7 linked regions of the Rattus norvegicus genome follow. The protein of the gene in region 5 interacts with the protein of the main gene of each other region in a pairwise test. Links are inferred from orthologs where the notes say so. Each region holds a gene or a part of one and is shown on either strand. Other genes may lie near its edges. The genes, in order: Vkorc1, Tmem51, Slc35c2, Aqp5, Creb3, Stx8 and Tmem234.

Region 1 (4,210 bases), on a different chromosome or scaffold from region 5:
TGGGCTTCTGAGTCTCATCTGAGCAGGAACACGGCATCCACCACACTCTCTGAAGTAGAAGTAGAAGACCTGAGAAAGAGCAGCCATGGAGGGAGGGCAGTCATCCATAAAGAAAGAGTTCCTTAAAGCAGCAACTGATATCACTTGGAGGTCAAACCACCGCATGACTCTAAAAATAAACATTGGACCTGATGTCCAGGTCACACTTGCAACTAGGTGTCAAGGAGATGTTCAAGGGCAGCTAGTTTATTATGTAAGTATCAAGACAGAAGTAAAGAAGACTGAAAAATGTAAAATCTTTCCAAAACTTGCCTGTGAAGGGTTAAGATTTAAGGTCAGTAGGGGAGGGGGTTGGTGAAGGAACTCCATGCAAATGGGAAGGATGGAGAGTCAGAGAACTCAGAACTGACAGGTCCTCAGTAGGTAGGATACTTGTAATGGGAGATAATATAAGAGGGATTGTTGGGTTGATCCAGGCTCAGGTTTTGCCAAGAGGGCACCACACGGTACCGAGGTCTGGGAAATCACAAAATGTGGCCTAGATAACAGAATTCATTCTGAGAGTGAGGGTGCCTCCGACCACAAGGGGCGCTAGTGAGACACAAGGGATAGCTGGCGGTGACCTGGAAACAGGTTATAGCCAAATAGCATCTGAAGTAATTTCAAGGGAAATGCTTCCTGAGTAGCATCCCAGCTTTCGCTGAATTCCACTAGTCCATTGGTCTGTAGATTCTAGACATGCCGAATGCATACAACAGGACTTGGCATAAAAAAATGTGCAAAGCTGGTCTGGGGAGGTAGTTTAGCAGCAAAGAGCACTGACTGCGCTTCCAGAAGGCCTGAGTTCAATTCCAGCAACTTCACACGATGGCTCAAAACCATTTGTAACGGGACCCAGTGCCCTCTTCTGGTATGTCTGAAGATAGCTACTGTTTGTATCTGTGTTTGTGTAGCGTGCGTGTGTGTGTGTGTGTGTAAAATAAAAAAATTTAATGCACTAAGCTGTGCACCGTCGTGTTAATACTATCTTTACAACACTACATACTCGGGGTTGGGGATTTAGCTCAGTGGTAGAGCGCTTGCCTAGGAAGCGCAAGGCCCTGGGTTCCGTCCCCAGCTCCGAAGGAAAAAAAAAAAAAAAAAAAAAAAGAACCAACAACACTACATACTCAAATTTCCCTTAATGTCTTGCAGCCTCTCCAACTACAATTCCCATCATGCCCGGCAGTTGTTGTATCAATGATTACCCCACATTCCTTAATCCTGTTTACCAGCCCAGCATTCCTAGCTGTCACGCCTAAGAATAACCAATTGAATTGGAGAATGCCAGCGGAGGCTTGTCAACCTTCCGGTCGGAGGGGCGTGGTCACATCAGACCACGCCCTGCCCCGTGGCGGGTTCTTCCCTCTTGTGTCTGCGCTGTACTGTCGACATGGGCACCACCTGGAGGAGCCCTGGACGTTTGCGGCTTGCACTATGCCTCGCTGGCCTAGCCCTCTCACTGTACGCACTGCACGTGAAGGCGGCGCGCGCCCGCAATGAGGATTACCGCGCGCTCTGCGACGTGGGCACGGCCATCAGCTGTTCCCGCGTCTTCTCCTCTCGGTGCGTGCAGAAATGAAAAGCATGGGTTTCTTGAAAACCAGTGTACCTGACGGCCAGGTTGCCAGATGATTTTGGAGTCTGGGGTCGCAGTGTCCGCAGAATAGACACTTTAAGAGCGGACTGCCCCCCACGAGTTTTTATGGGTAATCGGACGTGCACACGGGCTGGACCACTCAGAGATAATGGTATTTGAACGCTTTCTGAGGACGCCAGTGAATAACTGTGATTGGAAGATTGGCGGAGGCAGGGCAGTATAGCGAATAGAGACAGAGGGTGATTGGGATGGCACAAAGCGGGAGGAGGTGGTGGAGCTTTGACCGTGCTGAGAGACAAAGTGCTCACTCTGGGTTTTGTAGGAGGACCGAATGTCAGTGGGTGGCGAGAACTGTAGCTTTGTGGGCCCAAAGCAAATAGATTTCCCAGTTGTGGTCACCGTAAAGTGAAATCAAGCTGGAAAAAAATTTAACCTTATATTTATTTGTTTGTGAGGTGGCACATGCATGCCACTACATACATGTGGAAGTCAAAATAACTTTCGGGAGCTGATTCTCTTCTACTTTATGGGTCGCAGAGATTTAATCCAGTCGACAGGTTTGGCAGCAGGCACTTATTTGCTGAGCCCTCGCACCAACTCCTGAAAAGTTATTGATGGCCTGTGATGACAGGCCAGTAAGAGTAGGGGACAAGGGGGTTGGGGATTTAGCTCAGCGGTAGAGCACTTGCCTAGCAAGCGCAAGGCCCTGGGTGCAAGGCCCTGGGTTCGGTCCCCAGCTCCGAAAAAAAGAAAAGAAAAAAAAAAAAAAAGAGTAGGGGACAAGGTGGCCGACCTTTGGATTCTTGGTGGGTGGAGCTTCTTGCTAATCACTTTTTTTTAGAAAAAAAAGCTCCGGAGGCACCAGGCTGACTGCACTTACCTGGTTCTTTCACTTCCACCAGGTGGGGCCGGGGCTTTGGGCTGGTGGAGCACGTGTTAGGAGCTGACAGCATCCTCAACCAATCCAACAGCATATTTGGTTGCATGTTCTACACCATACAGCTGTTGTTAGGTGAGTGGCTTTGCCCCCTCATGACCTGTCCTCTGAAATCCAGACCAACCCCACCTCATGTCTTGGTGACCCAGACAGTTGACAGCCAGCTGCTAATTACTGAGCAATTTCCTCACAAGGAGAACACTTAGCAGGAGTATCCAAGTTGCTTTAGGTTTAGGTAGCCAGAGGCTTGAAGGGCCCTCAAAATTTCCCACAATCTCAGTTTTATGGCAAAGACTCAATTCTTTTTTCTTTTTGTTTAGTTTTTGGTTGTTATTGTTGTGTTTTGGTTTTTCTTCTCTCTCTTTCTCCTTTTTTTTTCTCCCCCAAGACAGGGTTTCTCTGTGTAACCGTGGCTGTCCTGGAAGTTACTGTGTAAGCCAGGCTGGCCTTGAACTCAGAAATTTGCCTGCCTCTGCCAACGAGTGCTAGAATTAAAGCTTTGGGCCACACCTAGTGAGTTTTGTTCTTTTTGAGACATGGTCTCTCTACATAACCCTGGTTGTCCTAGAACTCATTAAATAAAATCAGTCTGGCCTGGAACTTGCAGAGATCCTCCTGCCTTTGCTTCTTGAGTGCTGGGACTGTACACAACCGTACTCAGTTGGTGGGTTTTGTTTTGTTTTTGGAGACATTCCAGGTTGACCTTGAACTTCCTTTTGAGAGGACTCCAATAGGAACTCGTGTTTCATCTTACGTAGTTTAGCAAGAGAATTCACTCTGGGTCCCAAGAATTATTGAACAGATGAGGCCCATCAGATCCTGTGTTAGAGCACTTTCACCAGAAGCACCTGCTGCCTGTCATTGGGGAGGTGTTACAGAGTTCCAGGTATACCATTACTGACCCTCTCTTGTTTTACAGGTTGCTTGAGGGGACGTTGGGCCTCTATCCTACTGATCCTGAGTTCCCTGGTGTCTGTCGCTGGTTCTCTGTACCTGGCCTGGATCCTGTTCTTTGTCCTGTATGATTTCTGCATTGTTTGCATCACCACCTATGCCATCAATGCGGGCCTGATGTTGCTTAGCTTCCAGAAGGTGCCAGAACACAAGGTCAAAAAGCCCTGAGGTCCCACCTCATGCCAGGCTGACATGACTTGCTTTGCCTTAGCACATGAGCCTTGCCCAAGTGTATCGTGTGTGGGTCCCTAAAAGGCCCTATCACCCTCATTCAAACACCCCTCTATAACCACACACAGAAAAATGACCAAATGTGCCTCTAGGTTCTGTCCCCATTGGGCTGCTTTCTGCTATTGGTCAAAGAGAAGGATTTTGAACAATAAATTTTTCTATGTTGGTCAAGTCTGAAGCATATGTCTGCCAGGGACCCTTCGGGGTGTTGGTCTTTCCGTGTTACTGCCTTCTCTGGAACTGGGATGAGTCAGAATGGAGGGCCTGCCCGGAAGGGGAGCTGCATCATCTCTAGCATGTGTAGTCAGCAAAACCTGACACATCAGCCCCCACGTCCAGGAAACAAGCTTGCGCCTGCTGCCTACAGATCAGACCCTGTCGTAGGAGGGCCTGCTACACACCTGGAGGGCAAACTGGGTTGGAACTTCTTACTATGGTAGAGCTCAAAC
Region 2 (2,763 bases), about 97 Mb from region 5:
GTACCATGGTCCCTGTCTGTCTGCCGCTGTCCCTCTCGAGCCCACCCACAGTGTCTCACATTCTGGAGCCTTCTAAAGGCTATACCACTATAATGTCTCATTCTCAGTGATGTGGGGATTGCTCTGCATTAAGGAACGCAGGTCAGCCATGTCTGGGGGAATCGCCAATCTATCTACCTGTCTTTTATTTGTGCATGCCCACCCACGTGCTTGTGTCATGGTGCACACATGGAGGTGGGAGGTGAGCTTCATGTGGGTTCCTGAGGTCAAACTTAGGTGGTCAGGCTTGGCAGCAGGCTCTTTTACCCATCGAACCATTTTGCTGTCCCCATAATGTTCATGGAATACTGTCCTTCTAATTCTCTGATGCTAGAACCTTCCTGTCTTGGCTGACGTAGGTGAGAGAGGGGCCTGGGAGGACAAAGTGTCTTTTTTTTTCTTTTTCTTTTTTTTCGGGGCTGGGGACCGAACCCAGGACCTTGCGCTTCCTAGGCAAGCGCTCTACCACTGAGCCAAATCCCCAACCCCACAAAGTGTCTTTTTATTTGTACGCCAGGATTAATGAGGTGGAACAGCTATGAAACCATTGCTTGTCACCTCTCTCTATCTTCTGACCAGTATGCACATCTTTTGTGTCGATTCACGGGGCTCTTTTATGATGGAGGGAGGGGTTCATCCTCATCGTCATCTTGAGATTAGGCATCACCTAGGAGACACGTCTCTGGGATGTCTGTGAGGGTCACTGGGAGTAGATGAAGCCCTGTGTCAATGTGCACTGTTCACATGAATAGGACCGTGTCAAGAATGCCAATGTCCCAGACTCGGGAATGGCAAGGCCTTTTCCCTGGTCTACGGTTGACCAGTAGGAGCAGAAAGTACTGACTGCAGTTTCCTCCCCATGGCTGCAGCTTAAGGCTACTTCCTCCACAGAGACCCCCCTAAGGTGGTGAATTTCCTGGCTGTGGCTGGTGCCTCTCCATTAGAGTGTGCATGACCCACTCAGTCCCAGATTTACTTGTGGTTGTCACGTGTTCATTCCCTGTGGCCCCATCAAGGTCAAAGCCATGCATATGGAGACCAGGGGAGTTTCCAGGGAGGTTTAACTGTGTATGGTAGATCCACCCTGACTTAAATGTGAGCAACACCATTTATGGGCTGGGTCTGGATGAAGCGGAAGAAGAAGACAGGGACCTGAAAATCAACATTCATTTCTTTCTGCTTCCTGAGTTCCCACATGATGTAACCAGCCACCCCAGGCTCCTGCGGCCGCACCTTCCTGTCCACAATGGACCCTAGCCTCAAACTGAGAGACGGAATAAAGCCTCTGTCCTTAAGCCAACTCTGTGTATTTGGTCAGAGCAGCGAGAAGAACACCTAGTATGGATGCTGTGCTGAGTGCCTATGCTCCTTAGCTTGCACTGGCTAGAACAGTGGTTCTCAACCTTCCTAATGCTGCAACCCTTCAGCACTGTTCTTCATGTTACGGTGACGCCCCAGCCATATTCCCATTGCTACTTCATAACTGCAACTTTGCTGCTGTTATGAATCACAATATAAATATTTTTGAAAATGGAGATTTGCCCAAGGGATATCGATCCACATGTTGAGAAACACCGATTTAGCATGGCTTGGGAGACAGGCCTCTGAGAACGCCTGAGGCTGTGTGTGCAGGGCGTGGTGGTGTTGACTATGTCAATGGAGGTGGGAAGGTACACCCTGAATTGGGTGGCAGCATTTCATGACTGGATGAAAAGGAGACCCAGGGCCAAAGAGATGGCTCAGTGGTTAAGAGCACTGACTGCTCTTCCAGAGGTCATGAGTTCAAATCCCAGCAACCACATAGTGGCTCATAACCATCTGTAATGAGATCAGATAACCTCTTCTGGTGTATCTGAAGACAGCTACAGTGTACTTATATATAATAAATAAATATTTAAAAAAGAGAGAGAGAGAGACCCAGAACTGAGTGCAGGGCTGTCTGCATACATTAACTCATCCCTCTCTCTTCTTGACTCTCCCAAAATGACAGACCTGCAATTGTGAGCTAAATAGATCCTTTCTCCCTTAAGTTGCGTTTGTCAGAGTGCTTTGAGCACAGCAACAGAAATGTGTCTAAAAGAGACGCCAAACTTTTATTACATAGGCCCTATCTATCGTCTATCATTTAAATATGTTCGTGATATTTCTGACCAAGCAAAATAATTGTGCCTTGACCTTCTAAAATCAAAGTAGACACACACAGCACCTGGGACAGAGAGACAAACAACAGAGCGCTGGGACCCTAGGCCCCACCAGTTTCTGTGCTACACCATATTATCCACCTAGAAGCCTGCATCTAGTAAGCACAAGGCTGTTTGTAAAAATATGAGGCACCTTCCTTTAGGAGAGTGGAAATACAGACTCGGGGAGTAAAGTGCTCTCTCCACCATCCCGTGCGCAAGTGTGTCCCTACCCTAGGGTGGAGGGAGCAGTCACTTGGATCTTACCTGTCTTCCTCTTGGGAGGGGGGCACGGCTCCTGCCTGCTGCTGAATTCTGGCCAGCTCCTCACTCTGCCGCAGCTTCCTCTTGTCCCGGATGCTCAGGCAGATGGATAGCAGCAGCAACATCACGCCGGCCCCGACCAGCACGTAGGCCACTGAAAAAGTCTTGCTCTTGAGGATGCCACCACCTCCCTCTGTCTTGTTGCCCTGAGCCGTTGGCTTATCCGCAGGGCTGAAACCAGGAACCAGGTTCCACATGGCCATGATAACCCCGAGGACCA
Region 3 (4,153 bases), on a different chromosome or scaffold from region 5:
GGGGCTTCCTGTCAGTCACAGTGTTTTCAATAAATACTCTTTCATGTAGACTGGTTCCTGTCAACACCTCTTCCTCTACACTTGTTCCCTGCCCCAAGGGTAGGGAGCCACCTGGCGGTCTTCACTTCAGTGTGCCTGGGAGCGTCTGGAGAGCTCCAGCCACCTTCCAAGAGCATCTCCCTCTCCCCTGGTTGATCCTGCTCTGTCACGCACAGACTACTCACACCTGCTGGCTGAGGATGCTCACAGACTGTGGTACAGGACAGAGCGTTTCCTGCTCAGCCCTGCTGGGTACAACGTGGAAAGGCATACTGTACACCCCCAAGAACCCATCCTCCCTTTTTTCCCTGCCAGGGACACAGCCAGGGAACAGATCAAGTACTTGTGCCTTTCAAAGAAGACATGTTCTGCACCCCGTGTGTTGCCTGCGCTCAGTACCCAGCCTTCCAGCTGGTGCTTTAAGCTGTTGCTCCTACCAGCAGCCTCGGTAGCGGGGAGGTTTGAATGAGAGCAGTGATGAAAATAGATACTTCCTCTTGCCGCTGTCAGAAGGGGGGGGGGGGTGAGGACAGGCGCTTTCAGAAGGCATAGAAAGTGCATGCAACACAGGCCTTGAGCACTGAATGAAGCCAGGACCTTGGGCTGCAATGGGCACCACTGTAGGTCTTAGGAAGCATTGAATAAACTAAAGCTTTCGTGGTGCCAGCTGGCAGCAGCCTGCAGCAGCAGTGCGCACAAAGCACAGCTTACACTCTGGCCTTGAGCCTTCTGCTAGGAGCCAGGAGCCCAGCCAAGTCATGTGCAAGAATCTCTGTTTGCAGCCAGTCCTAGTAGAGCCCGGATGAGCAGAAGCCCAGAAGTGGGCCAGCTCGGGTTTGCAGCCCTAGCTTGCTTGGCTTAAGAGATTATCTTGCTCACGTACCCTGTTCCTAAAATGAATCAAATCCAGGTATGCTAAATTGTTCTGAGGCCACCTGTCTTCCTGGGCTCCCAGTAAGACTAGATCCTTCTCATCCACTTCCTTTCGGGTTCCATTTCCTCTGGGATGAACTTCCCGTACTCAGCTTATTGAATAATTCTCACAAAAGTATAGGCACATGTAATTTCACAAAGTGTCCATTATTACTTTGCCAAGATCTTTTACCTCTAAAATTTAATGGTTGTCAAATCATTATCCTAGCTGCTTGAGGTCCCAAAAGAAAAAGGCCCGCTACAGAGTTATTAGTATCTGTGATTCGTTCCTGGTGCTCGCTTAGGGGAAAACTACAGAGGCACTGTTAGAAAGCTTGCTGTGGCCGCCTTAGTTGAGGGAGTTGTTCTGGCTCCGCCCACCCCCACCGGCTTCCGGCGGAAGTCTCGCTTCCAGCGGGACAGTGCCCATCTCGAGTTTCCGGCAGGAATCTCCCGGCGAGAACCTGGGTGGAGGTAAGTGGGCGTGCGGTGGGCGGTCCCCTGCATTCTGGCCCGGCCTCAGTTTCCCCAGCCTTCCTCTGGCTCTGTGCCCGTTCGCCTGGCATTCGCTAAATTCTTACGAGGGGCCGGGTCTGGGGGATGGGGTTATCCAGATGGACACTGCTGAGCAGGCGCGGCAGGGACACGTGAGCAAACACATTCGTCACGCGGTGGGAAGTGCCACGCGCAGTGGGGGCCCTGGGGAAGGGGACAGACGCAGAGAGCATCAGGTTGCCAAGGAGGACACCGGCTGATGTGCTGGGCACACGGCCGTATGTGGGGTTGCAGCTGACAGGCAGGATCCTGGGAGGGCTTGTGGACCCAGCCCAGGGATCTCCAGTCTATAGAAATCGGCAATCTTAGTTTCTTTCCCTGATGCAACTTAAGGAAGGAAGGGCTTATTTTCCCCCATAGTTCCTTGTGCTGTCCATCGTGAGGAAGTCAGGGCAGTAAGTGCTTGAAGCAGCTGGTCACATTTCCATGGTCCTGAAGCCGGGAACCTTGAGAGCCATCAGTGTTTGCTAGTGTCCCTCTCCCTACTTTTATGGAGTCCAGGAGTCCCTGCCCACAACAGCATGGGTCTCCCCATATCAGTTAACCTGGTCAAGAGAACCCCTTTCTGGTATGCTCTGAGGCCCATTTCCCAGGTGATCCTAGATGCTGTCAGGTTGACCTCACTAACCACCGACCAGTCTCTGGCTCTTTCTGGACGGCAGGCAAGTGCAGGTGAATGGAAACTGTAGCGTATAGTCTGTGGTGGTGGGAGAAGTGAAGAGAAGTAGATAGGTCCATGAATAACCAGAGGTGGACTGGACAGGGCAGGAGATGAGGAACGCTGGGAGACAGAAATGGCTTCATTGATCACTGCCTTGGGCCTAAGTAAACAGTTGTTAGGGTGGCTATTTCTAAGAGATTTGAGAGTCAGATGGAGACCTGAGGAATATTAAGATAGGTTCTCGAGGTACCCTGAGGTTGAGCTGTCTGTGGGCCGGGTTCCTCTGCCTTCACAGAGAGCTTGGGGTGGTCTTGGTGGGCTGGGAATGAAGGCGGCAAAGAGGCCGGATCCCAGCCCTCGGGCACCAGTGCTTACTGGCTGAGTTAGAGAGGGGTCTGGTCAGACAGCTTTACAGAAAGCAGAAGACTCCAGAGACTGTGGTAAGCTACACCCACTAGGTCTCTGAGGAGGAAGCTGTCAGTTTCATGAGAGGAGCCACAGAAACCTGGGCTCTGACCAGGTGACAGGGAAAGAGTAACTGCCTGAGTGAACAGCCTGGTAAGGTAAGGGAGGTAAGGGGGTGGGCTGACTTTGGGAAGCTTTGTGACGGAATGATTCTTACCACGGGCCAGTGTCAAGTGCTGCTAGTGACGCCCCTGCCCCAAAACCGCACAGCTAGAGAAACTGAGTCAGAGCAGGCCAGATAACGCAGTCTCCGTTGTCGGTGACACAGACGGGTTTTCTCACAGGTCTTTGAAGCACTAAGCTGTACAGCCACATTCCGCTGAGGAGCTAGAGGGCAGCCAGGTGTTACAGCATCGTTGCCCACCCTGCTCTGAGGTAGGCACGGTTTCTTGGGGAAAGGGACGCCCGCTGAATTCCTTGCTTGGGTTGATGTGATTAGAAACCCGCTCTCCCTTACCATCGAGGGAGGATGAGGCCCTTAGGGGTTTTACATTTTGTCTAGCCAGTGTGAGGCAAATCACTGCTTAGTGAGGACGCACAGAGTGAATGTCTGCTTCCTGGGGTCCTTTCTGGCTGAGCTCTGTCTTTGCGTATGGGGATAGGTGACTTTCTGCATGGTGTCCCACAGAAGTGGGGAGCTCGAGAAGCTCTCTGAAGGAAAGGTGAGGCTTGAACAGTAGACAAATGGCAGTACATTGACCAAGGAGGAAGTGGTCAGAAGTAGTCAGGTTAGTAAGTTGAGAGAAAGGGGAACAGGATACCCTGGCATGTAGTGTGCCCCACGACTGCCTGGGAATGGGAGGCGGTGGTTCTCAGGGAGCACGGTGTGGGCTGTTCTGGAGTGTTGGAGACTCAACCCAGACCCTCCACATGCTAGACCAGCACTACAAAGTAATTTCTGGGCACGGCCTGGGTTGTTACAACTTGGGGTGGGGGACATGAAACTCGTGGCATCTGCTGGGTAGAAACGGATTTGTTAACGGATTGCCGCGTAGAAGACTGGCCTCTCCCAGAAAGATTCAGTAGTCTCAGGCTACAGAGCCCCAAGCATTGAGGGAATGGGAACCTCGAGGTCTGTTTGAGGAAGCTTTAACCCTGGGTCCCCAACTGTTTAACTGTATCAACGGGAGCCTGAGATCAGAGGTGAGATCAGGTGAACAGGTCTGGTTAGCAGTTGGATCTGCCTCTGGAGTTCATGGTGACCAGAACTGGCTGCATGCTGGGGAGATGTGAGCCTACAGAAAGTATATCAAGATATAAGGCTGCCTTACGCACGTGGGGCAAGGCCTCCTCGTTGGACCCATCATGGCTTTAATCATGGCCTGTTTATTAACCCGGAAGTCAGTGCCCAAACTGTAGGGTGAAATAAGACATACTTCGCTCTGTTCGTTTCTGCGGTGCTGGAGTTGCAGTGAGAATTCTTCTTGCTGTAGAATCCACGAGAGTGAGCCCACCATGAGGGGAAGCTCACAGCCACCACGCCAGCAGCTCCAGAGCTGTGAGCACTGTTGCCGTCAGTGA
Region 4 (4,222 bases), on a different chromosome or scaffold from region 5:
CCCCAGGACTCGGGGACCACGCTCTTCCCCACCAGAACACAGAACTCATGGACCTTGAAAGGAAATGGACACCAATTTCAGACCTTCAGAGGGAAAGGTGTCTTTCCATCTTGGGGACTGATATTGTTAGCCAGTCCTTAATGACAAAGTCATGGACCCTCCACGGAGGCAGGCAGAGCCCAGGAGAGACAGGATTCCCAATCTCACCCCCAAAGGGAGGCAACTGTGCCTTCTGAAGAGATGGACAGAACCTCCAATACACGTGTCTTCCAAAGTGCAGGGCCCAGCAAGGCTGCTGATACATGGAAACACTGTCTAGGGGTACAGTCCCTCCCAGAAGAGTAAGCCTCAATATCTCCACAGGGACAGATAAATACAACATTAGAGGACAGCTACACGGAGGGGCAGACGAAATCCTCAGATTAACACAGACCCCCCCTCCAATGCACTTCTGAAGACTCGTTGATTCATTCCACCCTTCTCTGGCTGAGCGTCACCCCCTTCTGCGTTCTCTTCTCTTTCCAACCTCCAAGTTCTGGGCCGAAACACCCAGAAAGTTCAGTCACTTCAGGACTTTCAGTTCAGCACGCTGCCTGCCATGAGGAGCGGGAGGAAGGCCACACTTACCCAGTGAGAGGGGCTGAACCGGTTCATGACCACCGCAGGGCCGAAAGATCGGGCTGGGTTCATGGAACAGCCGGTGAAGTAGATCTGGGTAGATGGGGGGTTCATGGTGAGGAGGGCACCATCCCTTCCACTCCCACAGATTTCTGACTCTCTCGGGGGTCATACAGTGCAGGGGCCAGCCACATCTCAAATCCAGGTTTCTCAGTTTCTAGGATGCTGACTGTCCATGCAGCCCAGCTGCCCACCACACACTCCTAAACACATCCCCTGCCTTCTCAGCCTTTGCTTCAGCTTGAGTCTCTATGCTCCCTTCCTTCCACTCGTTCAGTTTCTCAGTCCAGAGAGGGTTTTTTTTTGGGGGGGGTGGGCAACATTAAACCTAGGGTCCAGTAAGGCAACAGCCTAGATAGTCAAGACCAGGTCTTAAACTCTGCTGGGTCTTATCCATCTGGAGGAGCTGGTGTTCAACTCCACGACACCCCAGCTTGTGTCAGCACTACTCACCCCCACAAGATGGCCCAGTGTGACAGACAAGCCAATGGATAAGGCTGGGGAGCCCACAGGGCTGGTTCGGCGAGAGTCGGTGGAGGAGAAGATGCAGAGGGCTAGCTGGAAAGTCAAGATTAACTCCACCACCATGGCCTTGCCAGGCGTTGTGTTGTTGTTCAGCTGTAAGGAAGAGCTGGGTTAGGAGCCTGCTGCCTTCAGGCTCTGTGACAGGGGTAGACAAGCGAGGCTCTGGTCTTCAAGGACACCTAGAGCCTGAGCTCTTGGAAGCCAAGAGCATGACCCAGACGGGCTATTGGAGAAACCGCACTTCAGTGTGCACAAGCTTGAAGCTCTCAGGCCTGTAGCCGGAGGGTAGGGTGTCAGCGAGTTTTCCTGGGTGCCATCATGTCAACGACTCTGCCCAATCCCCAGCCCCCATGAGCTGGCATTTACCCTCCCTCCTGTGGGCAGCTGCCCAGTTTGCCTACTGCAAACAGCCCCTGGCCTCCTATCCGTGCCTGACCCACTGCCAGTGCCAACTTCAAACCCGTCTCTCCAGTGGCTGACTCACAGCTTGACAATGGCCGAGAAAATCCTCCTCTGTGTTTGATTAATGAGCCCAGTTCACATGGGACAGGGGGCTGAATCTAGGGCTCCAAAAATGGGGAGACAACAGGAGGCAGGAACAGGGATTACAGAAGAGGGAGCCAGTATTGGGGGCGGTGTCCCATCATGGCTTCCAAGTGCAATCCCCACGACACTGTGCTCTAATCACCTCCACGTAATGGCTAATAAACTGGAAGCCCAGGGAGATCACGGTTGCTCTAGACCGGGACTGATTACTACTACCCCTTGCTCTCTGGTGGGTCTGTTAAAATGACACCACCAAGGGGATGACAAGAAAGAACTCACAGGTGAGATTAGAAATTGAAGAGATGTCTCGGTGGCCAGGGGGAGTTAGGCCAGGAAGAGCGGCCTAAGAGGGAAGGGTAGAGGAGGTAGAATGTGAAGAGAAGCCAGGACCAAGGAGCCAGGACCAGGGAGCACCGAGCTTGGCTAGGAGGTTGGTCAGCCTGTTCTTACCGGCATAGTTGTGCACTGTTGCTTGGCTTGTACCCTTTATCCTTTCTTAAGAAGGGGGAAGCATGGAGGATCTGGTCTGAAATGTCCCCAGCGTCCCTGGCCATCCCTCCACAGTCTGGTGGACACTCACCGCATTGACGGCCAGGTTACCCCGGGCATTGAGTGGCGCCAGCCAGTACAGGATGCCTGCCCCAGCAATGGCGCCCACCAGCTGGGCTGCCACGTAGAAGACAGCTCGGAGCAGCGAGATCTGGTTTCCTATTAAGAGGGCCAGAGTAATGGCTGGATTGATGTGGCCACCACTCACAGGTCCCAGAGCTTGGGCTAAGGTACCTATGGCCAGGCCAAAGGCAATTGAGATTTGCAGAATGGTGGGCAGAGCCGAGGGCCACTTGAGTGCTGAGCCCAGGCCAAAGAAGACGAAGATGAGGGTGGCCAGGAACTCTGCGAACACCGCCTTGAAGAAGGCAAGGGAGCACACCTCCTTTTTCATGGTGGCCTTGGGGGCCCGGTGGCAGCGGGAGGGTTGCGGGGCGGCCGTCGGGGCGGCGCTGGTAGCGGCGGGCGTCTGTCTGCGGGGCTCTGCGCGCGGTGCGGTGCCCACTCGGTGGCAGGTGACCTGGCGCGGACCGGGCAGGGGCGCGCTATATAGAGGGCGCGCGCCCCGCGGCGGGCAGAGCGCGGGGGGGCCGGGGGCGGCTCCCGCGCCCAGGGGCCAGCGCAGAGCGCAGGGCGCGAGCCTGGCCGGGGCGCGCTCGCCTCCCCCCGCTCCGCGCGCCCCGGGCCCCCCAGCCGCACAGCGGCGGACCCGCCCGGGCCACGTGACCCACGCGGCGGTGTAAACCGGCCCCGCGGCCTGGGTCGCGCGCATCGTGCGCTCAGCGCTGTTCCCGCGCCCTCCTGGCCGACGTGCGTGCGGGACTCCCCGGGCTGCTGAGCGCGGTCCTGGCTCTCCGCTCCCACAGAGCTCTGGAAGTCCGTCTCCGGCCGGCTTTACCGGCGTCCCGGGCCGACCGGCAGCCTTCCCCCTTTCTCCTCCTCTGGCTCGCGCGACCCGAGCATCTTGACCCGGTCTCACCCTCGGCCCGGCCAGAGTGATGCGATTCTCTGAGGACAGCGCCTCTTAGCTCCCAATCCGCCCGTGGCGGGGGCGGTTCGGCCATTGTGGGCCTCTCCCCGGTCCAGCCCGGCGGGAGCGGGGGCGTTGGGTCGGGAGCGCAATGCCAGCCTAATGGCAATCCTCGACGCCGCGTGTGGCAGTGTTGGCTCTAGGCAGCGGGCTCTAGGAGGCGTTCTCAGTGGGAGCCCTTGGGGACCTCGGAGTGTTGACCAATTTGGGTTGTTTGGGCTTAGGGAAGTGGCCCTGAGACTGGTGTCAGAGGGAAGGATCTTGGCCTCTTCTGTTTCCAACCCACCAGAACTCCCTCACTTTAGACCTTTGAGTGGCTGTTTGCTTTTTATCCTTGTTCTTTCTTCTCTCTCTCTCTCTCTCTCTCTCTCTCTCTCTCTCTCTCTCTCTCTCTCTCTCTCTCCATGTGCGTGAGTTCCTCCATCTCTCTGACTCTTGGTTTTTGCTTTTTCTTTCTTTTTTTCCCCCAGTCAATCCGTCCATTACTGTTTCTAGCTCTTTCCTTGGTCTCTTTTAACCTGTGGGTCTTTATTTCTGCCCGGCTATCTCCCATTCCTACGTCGGACACTCATACAGTTTGTCTTTCTGGCCCCCACCCCCACCCCATCAAGTCCTTCCACTCTTGTACTGGGCAGCACATTTTTATAGTTTCCAGCTCCCTCTTGTCCTCCCAACCCTCCCTCTGCAGGTTTGGTATGTGTGAAAGGAGATTGGAGGGCTTTCCAGGGTTTGGGGGCAGGGCAAGGATCCACCCTCAGGATCCCAGAAAAGGAGCTGCCTACCCTCTGCCCCCCAAAATTCGTGCTTGAGCTCTTTGCATGGTATCACCCATAGAGCAAGGCCCAGGAGAGTCACCTCCGCCTTGGTCAATTTTAAAAACCTCCTAGGGCAATT
Region 5 (4,223 bases):
GGTGTGTTGGATGGCAGCTAACCTTCCCAATGAAATTCTCTCCACAGCTTTTCTGCCAATAGGCATTCACCTTCTGTGTGGACATCTCCACAGGACACGTGTCCAGCACTTAAAAGCCAGAGTTTTCTTATTTTTATGTGTATAGGTGTTTTGCCTGCATGTCTGTATAATGTATATGTATAATGTGTGTGCCTGGTGCCCACACAGGCTAGAGGACAATGACAGATCTCCTGGGACTGAAGTTACAGATAATTGTGAGCTGCCATGTGGGTGCTGGGACTGGAACTCACGCCCCACGGAAGAGCAGAAAGTGCTCTAAACCACTAAGCCATCTTTACAGCTGCCAATTAATTTAAAAAGTTCCTCCTAAGCTAGGTGTGGTTGTACATGCCTGTAATATCGGCACTTGGGAGGAAGAGGAAGGAGGTCAGGATTTCAAGACCATCCTTGGTTAGGGTAGTTTTCAGGACAGACTGAGTGAACTACAGAAGACTATGTCTCAGAACTAACAACTACCACCATCCTTATCCTAAACCCACATCAATCTTCTAGTTTCCACCCATTGGATTTTCCTAGGCTCTCTAGAATGATATAGAACATCTTTATCTTAAGTACTTTAAACTCTTTTTTTTTCAGAAATTAAAACTGAATAAAGTTAACTCTCATAGTCTCTGATAATGCTTGTCAAACCTGGACAGTAGCCAGGAGTGATGTCATACACTTGTAATCTGGTCCTAGGAAGCTAGAAGCAGGAGAACCAGGAATTCAAAGGCATTCTTTACCTACGACACAGTGTGAGGCCAGCCCAGCCTGGGCTTACAAGACCCTGCCTTACAAACCAGGGCTGGAGGGCGTAGCCAGTGGTAGAGCACTTGGTGAGTATTCCAGAGGTGCTATATTCCAATCCCAGGGGTAGGAGAATTATGGTATGCTTTGGCCAGTGTAAAGGAGGACAAGACAGTTACTGTCCTAGGGACGGAGCCACTATTGATAATTCCAAAACTCCATTTTCTTTCCTATTAACTACTATACTGCTCATTCATCTCGTAATGGCAGGAGAGGGATAGGAGAGGGTTTATCATGTGGGCCAGGCTTGCTTAAACTCAACATGAAGCGAAGTCTGGCCTTTAACTCCTGATCCACCTGTCCCAAATAAGTCAGTACATACATAACAAAAGAAGTAAGACAATAAAAGGGGCACAAAAACTAGATGCAGTATGCTTTCACTTGGGAAGTGACCTTGAGCGTGGGAGGACCTTCCTGCCTCTGCCTCTAGGGTTATGGCAGTGTGAGCCCCTCAAGTCCAGCTTTGTTACAACTTTGTTACAGCTTTGTAACAACTATTGTTGTTAGACTGCTTCAGCCTCTCCAGCATATCTACTCTACCACTGAGCAAAAGGCGAAGTCCCAAGATAGCAACGAAATCTGTCAAGGCCATCATTTGAAGGCCCTTTCAAGGCTCTGTTCTAAAGTTACTCTACATTTAAAAAATTATCTTGGGGCTGGGGATTTAGCTCAGTGGTAGAGTGCTTACCTAGGAAGCGCAAGGCCCTGGGTTCGGTCCCCAGCTCCGAAAAAAAGAACAAAAAAAAAAAATTATCTTTTGTACATGGGGGTCTCTCCTTCCATCACGTGGGTCCTGGGAGTTAAGCAAGGCCTTTTCCTACAAAGCCATACACTGATAATTTTGAAAGGAACGCCAAAATGTATATCAGCGCCACAAGACCAGGATCTACCCTGGTATCTGCTCGTCCCAGGTTCCCACTATCAGCTTCCATTCTGACCTCAGTCCTTTTGTAAGTGATCGATATGAAATAAACTGAGTTTGCCTACTTGGGTTATACAATCCCCCTCCAGCTTTTGCTCTACTACCAGAAGCCTTACCTTAGTGAGAGGAAGTGTTGAGGGCAGAGTGAGCCCCTCCTTCTCCAAAAGCCTTTTCTCTTCCTCCGTCAGTATCAGTGTAGAAAGTTCCTAAGGTTGGAGGAAGAGAGCAGAGTTGCATGGTGATGTCAGAGCAGTATGGGGGATTCTTGGCCGCTGCAAAGTGAGGTAATCCTGAAACACCAAGCCCAGTACCTGCTCTGCTGCTGTCTCCTCCACACGCAATGGATTCATGCGGAACCCCTCCTTTTCAAAGCTCCCAGGATCTGCAAAAGCGAAAGTAGGGCTAGCAAGTTCAGTGAGCTCTCTCTTTCCCCATAACTTAACATTTCACACTCACCTAGATCTATGGAGACGTGCTCCTGTGGAAGGGAATAGTTGTGATCATGGAGAATAGAAGAACTAGAAGAGTTGAGAACATCCGGCGATGACGAGGGACTGAGCAGAGAGCTCAGTAAATCCTCTACCTCCCAGTCGCTCAATTCTTGCACGGAGTTCTAACAAAATCAAAGGCCTTGTTTTATCTCTGTACCTTGGGTCTCAGGGACATCGCTAGCTTCCCCACTCAGAACACCCACCCACCTCGGAAGGCGACAGCTCCAAGTCCAGGGGAGTCTCTATGTCCTGCTCAGTCGCAGCCCACAAATCTCCACTTTCCTCTAGCAGGAAGCCCAGCAGGTCCTGATCACCAGGATCCAAAGCTAGCAGGTCCTGATCACCAGGATCCAAAGCTAGCAGGTCCTGACCACCAGGATCCATTTGGAATATTTATGGATAGAAACTCCTCTGCGCAGATCCAATCTCCGAACCTTAGGCACGACCCCTCAGTCTGTCAAGTCGCATCGACTTAACCTTAGTCACTCCCGGACCAGGGCCTAGCTGTTACTCTATATGCCACACCCGCCTCTCAGCTTCTATTCCCCTCAGCGTCCAACATAACGGAAGTGATGCACATAGTCCCGTGGAATCCTGGGACTTGGAGTTCCCTCCAACTCGGAAGTGGCTTGTGTAGTGCGCCACGTCCCAGGGGCTATGCAAATTATGGGGATGTCCCTTCAGCTTCCCACGCCCCAGGGCGGGGATTCTGAGGATCCGGATCCGCCTTCGCCGCGAGCTATTAAAAAAACCCTAAGAGTCTAAAAGGGAACTCCCGTTTAGTTCGGGCGTTCTCTCCAGTGCTCTGCACCCTCGCTTCCTGCCGGGGAGGGGCGGCCAGGCTTCGCGGGAGCCCGAGCATCGAGAGCTGCGGCCAGAGCAGCTTCCTGCAGTCTCTGCGACCATAGAGCGGACCGCCGGCGGGTGGGGGACGTTTCCAGGACGGAAGTGGACGAGAGTGTGTCGAAGGGAGGGCGAGGCCGGAGCCCCAAAGCGACCGGGAGAACGAGCGGGTAGCGGGCCCAGGGCGGGGCGCAGAGCTGGGCAGCGCAGGTAGGCCGGACGGGCTGGGCTGAGGTTCTAGGTGGGGCTGCGGGATCAGGCCGGCCCGGGAAGCGGCGGGCGGGGCCCCCAATCCTCTTGCATATCCTGTGTCCGGTTGGGGAGGTCAGGGTACAGTACGTTTCAGTTTAGGTTTGAAATTAAGCCAGCCGTGTTGCGAGAGACAGGCCCTTTTCGCGGGAGTAGACAGTTCTCTGTCTCGGATAGTTTTTGGGACGGGTAGAAATGGGGTGGCAGTGAGGCATTGGGCGGGGATGGGCTTTGGTGTTAGCCGATAGTGAGTATGTGGTTAGGAAAACTTTGGGTGAGTTTGAGTTAGGTGCGTCGGGTTTAGGAAGCAAGGATCCCATTAGAAGTTAAGAAGCTGGACTACATTTTAAACATGCATGAGTCAAGTCTCTTTCGTGTTTGTGACATTTAAACTGAGGTCATTATTTTCTGGAATGACCAGCATAAGTCAGTGTACAGGATCGGGTTAAGGATCAACAACAGGAATTGGCTTAGAAGCTCGTTTCAGGGATTAAAGGCCATTGTCATGGTCAGTATTAAGAATAAACAGTGAGAAGGTGAATTAAGAATCAAGGTAGAAATGAGCTTTAGGACTGGGGAGAGGGGCAGTATTTAGGGTTAAAGTTAGGGGATTTGGGCCTAAAAATAAAAGCCAGATTAGTATGGTTGTGTGCTAGGAAAGGGGTAAGTGTCAAAATATAGGGAATTAGGATACAAAATAAAGTCAGGATTAATGTTAGGAATTAGTGATAGCATCAGAGTCAAGGCTGCAGCTACAGCTGAACAGGTAAAATGTAAGAAGTTGGGCAGCAAGTAGCTGCCTTTGTTTTGTAGTGAGCTCTCTTATTCCTGTGTGATCACAGAGGCTCCTTTTATCCAAAGAGATGACAGAG
Region 6 (3,500 bases), on a different chromosome or scaffold from region 5:
TCACTCAGTGCCAGAGCCCTGGAGAGGAGAGCAGTCTCTCTTCTGAACTTGTTTGCTTCTGTGATATTCCCAACCATGAACTTAAGGTCCAGAATCGGGGAGAGGCCGATGCTAAAGGTGTAACAATTTATCCTTCATTAGCCCCAGCAATGGAGGCTGTGTTCAGGGCAGCTGTTAGCTATATGCACTGCCCATCACAGGCTGGCAAAGAACCTGGGGAAGAAAGCCGACAAGGAAGCCCCTCCCTCTATGGCTTTGTCCTAGCCTCACCAGGACACAATTTTCAATAGGCCAACTTCAGGAGTTTACCAGGCAGAAAACTCAAAGAAGGCAAAAGAAAACTTCGAGCTGTATTCTCCATGAGTATGCCCCACCTAACAAGAGCTTAAGCTGAACACACCAGGCTTATGAAATCCGGGGAATTAATGAAAACTAAAGGCAGAAGGAAAATACAATCAGATGCTATAAACAAGCAGACTTTGTACAGAATAGAAACTCACTGCTAGAGCTCTGAAGAGGAGAGTAGCTTCTCTTCTGAACTCGTTTCCTCCTGTCGTGACGGCGCCTGAGTCCTCAGGGGCCTGGGTGTCCCTGTAAATGAAAGCATCGTACCTGATCAAATCCGGCTCGGAACCCTCATTCTTAAACGATGCCAGGAGCAGTCTCTCTCGGGTGACAAGATCATCCAGAAGGTTCTGTCTTCGATCCCCCTCCAGTTGTGTTCTGTGGTCAGTTGTTAAGGTCCAACAGTGGGTGGCTTAGCTCATTTCCCTAAGGCTTTATTAACCCAAGTCACCTGCAGCCATTACAGGCTCCACCTACTGCTACCCAGAATCCTTCAGGTAAATGACCCTGACTGTACCACTGCAAATGGATAATGCAGACACTGACAGAGATCACTATTAGAGTCCTATCACTAAAGAGTATACCACGTAAAAGCTGGTTTGCCTGTCTATTTCTTTTGCCAGTGAACAGTCTACAAGGGCAAGCTGGAGCCTTAGGCTTAAGCTTCAGGTGTTAGCTTTCAAGGGTGTCTGCTAACTTATCAATGCCCTAAGATAGGGCCGGGATGACTCCTAGCAGTGCAAAAACAAACTCAAAACACCCTTCCCACAAAGCCTAAGGTTTGGAAAGGGGGAGGTGTCTCCCGTGAACGTAATAGTTCAGATGGAAGCTTCGTGAAAGTTGTTTTTGTGCATCAATGTGCTGTGAAAGATGTTTCTGTCAGCTCAGTAGTTAGAAGTACTATAGATCTTTGTGGGAAACCACAAACAAGTCGACATGTTATTCTAGTAAATGTGGCAGACTTGGAACCTAAAGGCAGAGCTTCACCTGTCGAGACAGATGCTTCTTTATTGTTGGTGTGGGGGGGGTGGGGAGAGGGGTTCATGTCACAGTGCATGTAAAGGTCAGAGGACAACTTTGTGGGGTCTGTTCTCTCCTTTTTCACCCTTCCATTGACTCCTGGAATCCTCCTCAGAGCTTCAGGCCTGCAGGACAGGTGTTACTGACTGAGGTGATCACCAGTCATGGCTGTTTCTTTATATGGAACTCCAGAACACTTACATCTTTCCGTAGGTTTTGTGGTACTAGGACTTATCTCCAGAGCCATTGGATTTACTGCCAAGCCACACCCTCAGTCCTTAAACCCAAAGTTCCTTTTTTGTTTGTCTTTCTGAGACCCAGTTTACTATGTAGCCCAAGCTGGTCTCCCACTCCCGATCACCTCCCTGAGTGTACGCACTAGCTTTCTTGAAACAAAACAATAGATGTTAAGTTCTGTGGGTTCACCGGAACAGAGCTGAAGAGGGGCACAGTGAGTGAGCTGCCGCCCTGCAAGCCTGAGGCCTTGAGTTTGGATTCGGGACAGCTCTGGGAAGCAGACCTGGCAGGGTTCACCTGAAGCCGCAGAACTGGTGGGAAGGGGGAATGGAGACTGGCAGACCCCAGGCAACTCTCTGCCAGCCCAAATCCATGAACTTGGGTTTCACCAAGAGACCTCTCTCAAAAGAATGAAGTGTGAAGAGACTGAGGAAGATGCTGCACATGGACCTCCAGTCTCCACATCTGTGTGTGTATAACCACATGTTCACACACACTCAAAACAGTAAAAGAAATGTTGAAGAAAACTCCATCAAGGACAGGACATGGGAAGTAAACAAACAGATTTAAGAAAAAAATCTTGTGTCTGACATCAAATAGAAAAAGAAAAACAAACAAGGGGTATCTGGCTTTGATTTTTTTTTTTTTTTTTACCGAATGGCGGTTTCATCAGATCTGAAGGCTGGCAATGAGAAGCAGGGCTGGCCACTAATACCAGTTCTGGCAACAACAGTAAGCATGAAAGATGGCTGCTTCGGGTTACAGATCCTTTTCTTTGTAAAAAAACAGATCATAAGGGGCTGGCGAAATGGTTTAGCAAGGAAGGTGCTTGCCACCAAGCCTGAGGACCTCAGTTTGAGTCCCAGAACCCGTATGGTAGAAGAGAACTGACTCCCTCGAGGCCTCAATCTGCCACATGCACACCACAGGATGAGTGTGTACATTCACAAATACATAAGTCTAAAGGGGTCATAAAACATTGTGTTCAGGCCCCAAAGTTTCTGAGAACTCAGCAGAACCTAGGATTAGCATCACTACTGCCTGGGAGGGAAATCCACGGCTCAGGGATCTACGAGTTCTGCTGTTAATTTTGTACAGAGAAGTGTTGGCTAGCTAGTAGGAACAGTAAACAAACCCCGGCAAAAAAAAAAAAAAGTTTCCCTCAATAACAGAGTTATTAGAAAAATCATAAATCTCCTAAGCCTGAGTCTTTGCACCATAGTTACTCTACATATTAAAAAATAATAACAATAAATGGCTTCTCTCAACATTCCAGCATGCCACATGTCCCTGGGTCCAGTCACCCCCATCACTTTTCCATCTCCTGCTGACAGCAGTTACCAAGCACCCCAGCTTGGAAACCATGGTGTTGCAACTGTAACTAAGAAACAGAACCCCACATATTCTTATTCTTATTCTTATTATTCTTTAATAAAAAGGCCAAATATTCATCTTCTGATCAGTGCCAACCAAGAACAAGTATCTATCTATGTCTTTCAAATTAATGATAAACTGCCAATAAAGCAGAGAGCTCTTATTCGATTTAAGCAGTGTTCCTTGGTGATGGGGCAGGGAGAAAACAGAAGCTGTGAAAAGAATTACACAGAACAAGGCCAAACGGAAACTCTACGTTGTGGGGCTGTTAGTTATGTCCCAGTATCAGCTAGCCTTCCCTACATGTTCTGCCCGCCTACTGTGCAGACCTGACGTTCTGTAGAGGTCTTATTAATCAGCCTCCCAAGCAAACATACACTGGACACTCGCTGAACAAAACTCCAGGGTTAAAATTATATAAAAATCCAAATGGCCCTGGAACTTAAAACATTAAAAGACAAAATTGTATCACTATTATTAGGAGAATGCATAGGATGTTTTAATAATCTTGAATGAAAAAAATC
Region 7 (4,067 bases), about 85 Mb from region 5:
GGGTTCTCCTCCGTTCCTAACATAAGCGGCAGAAGAGCCAGGCCTGCCACAGCACCCTCATACGCTTTTGTCTGGATTCAGGAGTCCAAGACAAGATTGAGTTCCAGCCTAAAAAAATCTTTCAGGTCCTGTTCAGCTGACTACAGATGACAGTAAGGACGCATGGGCTCTGGTGCTTTGTCACTAGCTCACCCTGTCATCTTAAATACAGGGCTTCTTTCCTTTAAATGGCTATGAGAGCTGAAGAGATGGCTCAGAGCTTAAAGAATACTGGCTGCTCTTCCAGACGACATGGGTTCGATTCCCAACACCCACACGATACCAACAATCTGTAGCTGCAGTTTCAGGGGATCTTCTGGCCTTCTCAGGTACCAGACGCACACATGCAGGAAAGCACCCATACACATAAAATAAAATGATTACACACACACAAAATATATATAATTTTTTTTTTAAAGCACTGGGAGGAGCTGTACGTGGTAGCACACATTTGTATTCCTAAGACCAGGAGGCTGAGGCAGGAAGATGGAGAGGTTCAGGCCAGCTTGGATAGATACCCCACCCCTGTTAACAGCTTTCTTCAAAGGGCAGCTGTGACGCTCCAATAAAACCATGTCTATGAACCTTAAAATATAAGCGACTAACATACATGAGGTGCGGTGCAAAACTATTTAGAAGAATGACCTCACTTGCTGGGGGAGCTACTAAAAGCTTCCATGTTTTACTAAAAGGGAAAACTGTAGTTTAGAAGGGTTAAATTTCAATCTCTTAATTTTCTTCTCCCTGGGTACTCTTTCCTTTCATCCACCAACATCTTCCAGATTTTCCTGGCAGAATGCTGTCGCTACCCTACTCCGGTTATGGGTGGTTTTCCCTGCTTTTCAGAGAAATATCCCTCCGGCAGCAAACCTTGTTCACCTCACCCTCTGTCCCGGCGGCGCGAACTCGCTCCCCCCGGTGCCCCGCCCGGCCCTCCCGCCCTCGCGCAGTCGCTCACGGGGTCTTTGGCCACAGTGAAAAGGAGGTCTCCTTCGCGGTTGTACTTGATTTGCGTGATGGACCGCTCATGGCCCTGAAGCAGGATGGGCTTCTGTGAGGACAGAACCGGAGTGTCAGTGCCTGAAACCCTGTCCCAAGTCTACTGAGGACCCCCGACAGCAGCACAGCGTGCCTGGAACTCACCATCCTGGCGGTGACGCGAGGAGAGAGGCAATGTGAGTAGGACCGGAAGAAGACTGGGGCGACTTCCGGATGTGAGGACTCCGCCCTCTCGCTCCCGGAAGTAGAAGGGCCCGGCGTTTCCATGGCGGCATCCTTGGGTGGGTAGCTGGCCCCGCCCCTCTGCGGGCTCCGACTCTCCAACTCGGAGAATCTCTTCTCACTCCCCTGGCATCCCTGAATCGCAGGAATGCTAAACCACGCACCCTGGTCTCCCGGTCTCACTTCCGCCGTTTTGCCGGCCGGTCCTCCCGACCTATCGCTGCCCGGCGCGGAGAGCGCGGGAGGGAGATGGAGCCGGTCAGCCGGGCTGGAGGAAGCAGGAGAGGGCCGGGGTGACTTTCTGACCCTTTGCTTTCAGGGCAGGTGCTTGCTCTGGTGCTGGTGGCTGCACTATGGGGTGGCACGCAGCCACTGCTGAAGCGGGCCTCCTCCGGCTTGCAGCAGGTGCATGAGCGGACATGGGCCCGGCAGCTGGTGGGGGAGATGAAGGCTCTCTTCTTGAATACTGAGGTGCGTACGCTCGGGAGGAGCCGCTGAGTGTTTGGTCGCTGGTCGGCCAGATTCTCAGCCCACCTCCTACTCACTAGAAGCTCCTGGAAGCTCATTTATCCCCTGTGAGTCTCAGTTTCATCATCCGTAAAATGGAAATTTTAATGATAACCCATGTATAGGGCAGATAGAAGAATTGAGGTAAGACGCAAAACACTTAGCATTGGGCCTAGTACAGCGTACATGTTCAATCTATGACTTTTTTTTTTTTTTTTTTTTTGAGACTGTGTTTCTCAGTGTAGCCCTGACTATCCTGAACAGTCTAGCCTCGAACTCAGGGATCAGCCTGTCTCTGACTCCCGAGTGCTGGGATTAAAGGCGCTGCCACGGCCAGGCTCTTAATGTCATTGTCACCCTATCAATTATATAACGATTTGGAGCATTTCCAGAAGCTTTCTTTGCCCTGGAGTTGTACCTAAGGAAGGCTATAATGAACTGCCTACAAGCCATAGCTGCCGATGTAAGCTAGCTAGATATGCAGCACTCTGAGGGGTACAGATAAAGTACTGTGTGAACTCTGAGAGAGATGGGAGTTGGAGGACAGGGAGTGGGCTTCCTGGAAGGGGTGACACTGTCACTCAAGGAAAGATGGGAACTGGCCAGGACGAGGGAGAGGATATTTAAGGCAATAGAGTACATTGACTGTGTTTCTCTCTTTGCTCTAAAGAGTCCTCAAACACATGAGTGTGGGGTTAGGGATTTAGCTCAGTGGTAGACCGCTTGCTTAGCAAGCGCAAGGCCCTGGGTTCGGTCCTCAGCTCCGAAAAAAAAGAAAAAAGAAGAAAACAAACAAACAAACAAACAAAAACCCAACACATGAGTGTTCCCTGAGCATTTGTAGCCATCCCTCCCCCTGGGGGAATGGCATAAGCTAGAACCCGGGTTCTCAAACTGAGTAGTAACTGGAAAGGGGCCTAATACCAGATATCCCAAATGTCAGATATTTATATCACCGTTCATAAGTGTAGCAAAGTTACAGTTGTGAAATAACAATGAAAACAATTTTATGGTTGGGGGTCACCACAACATGAGGAACTGAATTAAAGGGTTGCAGCGTTAGGGTTGAGAACCACTGCTCTGGAGAACCGAGAAGACTGTTGCCCATGCAGGCAATCACTGACAGGTTTCTCCTCTTTCTAGTACCTGATGCCCTTTCTCCTTAATCAGAGTGGTTCCCTTCTCTACTACTTGACGTTGGCATCAACAGGTGGGTCTCTAGCTTGGGTCTTCTCTGGGGTGGAGGCCATATTTTTCAGGGAAACCTGAAACCCCTTGCACCTATTAGTGAGGGAGAGCACCTGTTTCTGGTCCTTCTGTGAGTCACAGGGGCAGTGAGGGGGATCAGTGAGAGGCCAGTCACTAAAGCTGGCCTGACAGTCTTGTGTAGCAGCAGAAGGAAAGTTCATTGTGGTCTCATAAGTGCTGACCTCTTGTTTGGGAGGGGGGGTTTTCTTGATACTTTTTCTGCTTGTGTGATGATTGTTTTAATTTTTTTGACTAGATTTATTTTGTGTGTGTATGTGTGTGTGCGCATGTGTTATAATGCGTGTTTGGTCAGAGGACAAGTTTTAGGAGTAGGTTCTCCTTTTATCTTGGAGATTCTAGTAATGAGCTGGGCTCATCAGTCTTGATGGCAAGAACCTTTACCACTGAGTGACCACACTGGCCCCTTTCAAATCGTGATCTTTGTATCTGTCTTCTAAATGCTGGGATTATAGGTGTTTACCAAACACCCATGTAAGTGATGTTCTGATTCCCCTCTACACTACCTGCCTGGCCTACAGTAAGTCCTTTATTTGAATCTTGGCTTTATATAGTGGGTTTCAGAGCACTGTGACGCCTCTAACCAACTCTGGCAGTCTGTTCTAATTTTCTGCTACTTCTCATTCTCTGGCTTGTTCTGTCTTCACTTGTCACCTGTCACCTGTCTCTGTAAAACTGTCCCAGTAAAGGGGCTGGAGAGAAGGCTCGGCAGTTAAGAGCACTGAGTGTTCTTCCAGAGGTCCCGAGTTCAATTCCCAGCAACCACATGGTGCCTCACAACCATCTGTAATGGGATCTTATGTGCTATCCTGTTATGCAGACAGAATGCTCATACATAAATAAGTTTAAAAAAAACTTGCCCCCTCCCATGCTCTCCCCTGTCCTGTCTGTTCTTGTGAGAGTTGGACATATCCTGTCTCTGACTCATTCTGTCATATTTTTCTCTGGTTAGTCACTTTGCCTGTCAATTAGACATCACTTTCATGGCTTTTGTCTACAAACTAACCTTACCTACATTGGTCAAAATTGCATAC

The links.
Region 1: the proteins of Creb3 (region 5) and Vkorc1 interact in a two-hybrid assay, tested with the Homo sapiens proteins (2 studies listed by BioGRID and IntAct). The two-hybrid records come from large-scale screens. The link is inferred for Rattus norvegicus from reciprocal best matches to the Homo sapiens genes CREB3 and VKORC1.
Region 2: the proteins of Creb3 (region 5) and Tmem51 interact in a two-hybrid assay, tested with the Homo sapiens proteins (2 studies listed by BioGRID and IntAct). The two-hybrid records come from large-scale screens. The link is inferred for Rattus norvegicus from reciprocal best matches to the Homo sapiens genes CREB3 and TMEM51.
Region 3: the proteins of Creb3 (region 5) and Slc35c2 interact in a two-hybrid assay, tested with the Homo sapiens proteins (2 studies listed by BioGRID and IntAct). The link is inferred for Rattus norvegicus from reciprocal best matches to the Homo sapiens genes CREB3 and SLC35H1.
Region 4: the proteins of Creb3 (region 5) and Aqp5 interact in a two-hybrid assay, tested with the Homo sapiens proteins (2 studies listed by BioGRID and IntAct). The two-hybrid records come from large-scale screens. The link is inferred for Rattus norvegicus from reciprocal best matches to the Homo sapiens genes CREB3 and AQP5.
Region 6: the proteins of Creb3 (region 5) and Stx8 interact in a two-hybrid assay, tested with the Homo sapiens proteins (3 studies listed by BioGRID and IntAct). The two-hybrid records come from large-scale screens. The link is inferred for Rattus norvegicus from reciprocal best matches to the Homo sapiens genes CREB3 and STX8.
Region 7: the proteins of Creb3 (region 5) and Tmem234 interact in a two-hybrid assay, tested with the Homo sapiens proteins (2 studies listed by BioGRID and IntAct). The two-hybrid records come from large-scale screens. The link is inferred for Rattus norvegicus from reciprocal best matches to the Homo sapiens genes CREB3 and TMEM234.

Annotation. Positions count from the first base shown.
Region 1 is NC_086019.1:191,932,691-191,936,900, reverse strand, and holds Vkorc1 (vitamin K epoxide reductase complex subunit 1), read left to right. Parts: upstream 1-1,410; 5' UTR 1,411-1,432; coding exon 1,433-1,605; intron 1,606-2,541; coding exon 2,542-2,651; intron 2,652-3,495; coding exon 3,496-3,698; 3' UTR 3,699-3,932; downstream 3,933-4,210.
Region 2 is NC_086023.1:159,611,129-159,613,891, forward strand, and holds part of Tmem51 (transmembrane protein 51), read right to left. Parts: coding exon 2,487-2,763; intron 1-2,486.
Region 3 is NC_086021.1:174,439,983-174,444,135, reverse strand, and holds the start of Slc35c2 (solute carrier family 35 member C2), read left to right. Parts: upstream 1-1,353; 5' UTR 1,354-1,425; exon of another isoform or gene 1,426-2,178; intron 2,179-2,227; exon of another isoform or gene 2,228-2,730; intron 2,731-2,916; exon of another isoform or gene 2,917-3,007; intron 3,008-3,260; exon of another isoform or gene 3,261-4,153.
Region 4 is NC_086025.1:132,600,106-132,604,327, reverse strand, and holds the start of Aqp5 (aquaporin-5), read right to left. Parts: upstream 2,801-4,222; 5' UTR 2,693-2,800; coding exon 2,330-2,692; intron 1,297-2,329; coding exon 1,132-1,296; intron 712-1,131; coding exon 628-711; intron 1-627. UniProt on the Homo sapiens protein: Aquaporins form homotetrameric transmembrane channels, with each monomer independently mediating water transport across the plasma membrane along its osmotic gradient. Plays an important role in fluid secretion in salivary glands.
Region 5 is NC_086023.1:62,612,229-62,616,451, reverse strand, and holds the start of Creb3 (cyclic AMP-responsive element-binding protein 3), read right to left. Parts: upstream 2,801-4,223; 5' UTR 2,644-2,800; coding exon 2,467-2,643; intron 2,382-2,466; coding exon 2,225-2,381; intron 2,151-2,224; coding exon 2,080-2,150; intron 1,975-2,079; coding exon 1,885-1,974; intron 1-1,884. UniProt on the Homo sapiens protein: Endoplasmic reticulum (ER)-bound sequence-specific transcription factor that directly binds DNA and activates transcription. Plays a role in the unfolded protein response (UPR), promoting cell survival versus ER stress-induced apoptotic cell death.
Region 6 is NC_086028.1:53,168,172-53,171,671, reverse strand, and holds part of Stx8 (syntaxin-8), read right to left. Parts: intron 724-3,500; coding exon 613-723; intron 1-612. UniProt on the Homo sapiens protein: Vesicle trafficking protein that functions in the early secretory pathway, possibly by mediating retrograde transport from cis-Golgi membranes to the ER.
Region 7 is NC_086023.1:147,225,688-147,229,754, forward strand, and holds the start of Tmem234 (transmembrane protein 234 precursor), read left to right. Parts: upstream 1-1,267; 5' UTR 1,268-1,303; coding exon 1,304-1,319; intron 1,320-1,579; coding exon 1,580-1,731; intron 1,732-2,910; coding exon 2,911-2,977; intron 2,978-4,067. Other genes in the region: Eif3i (eukaryotic translation initiation factor 3 subunit I), read right to left, coding at 998-1,090, 1,183-1,185.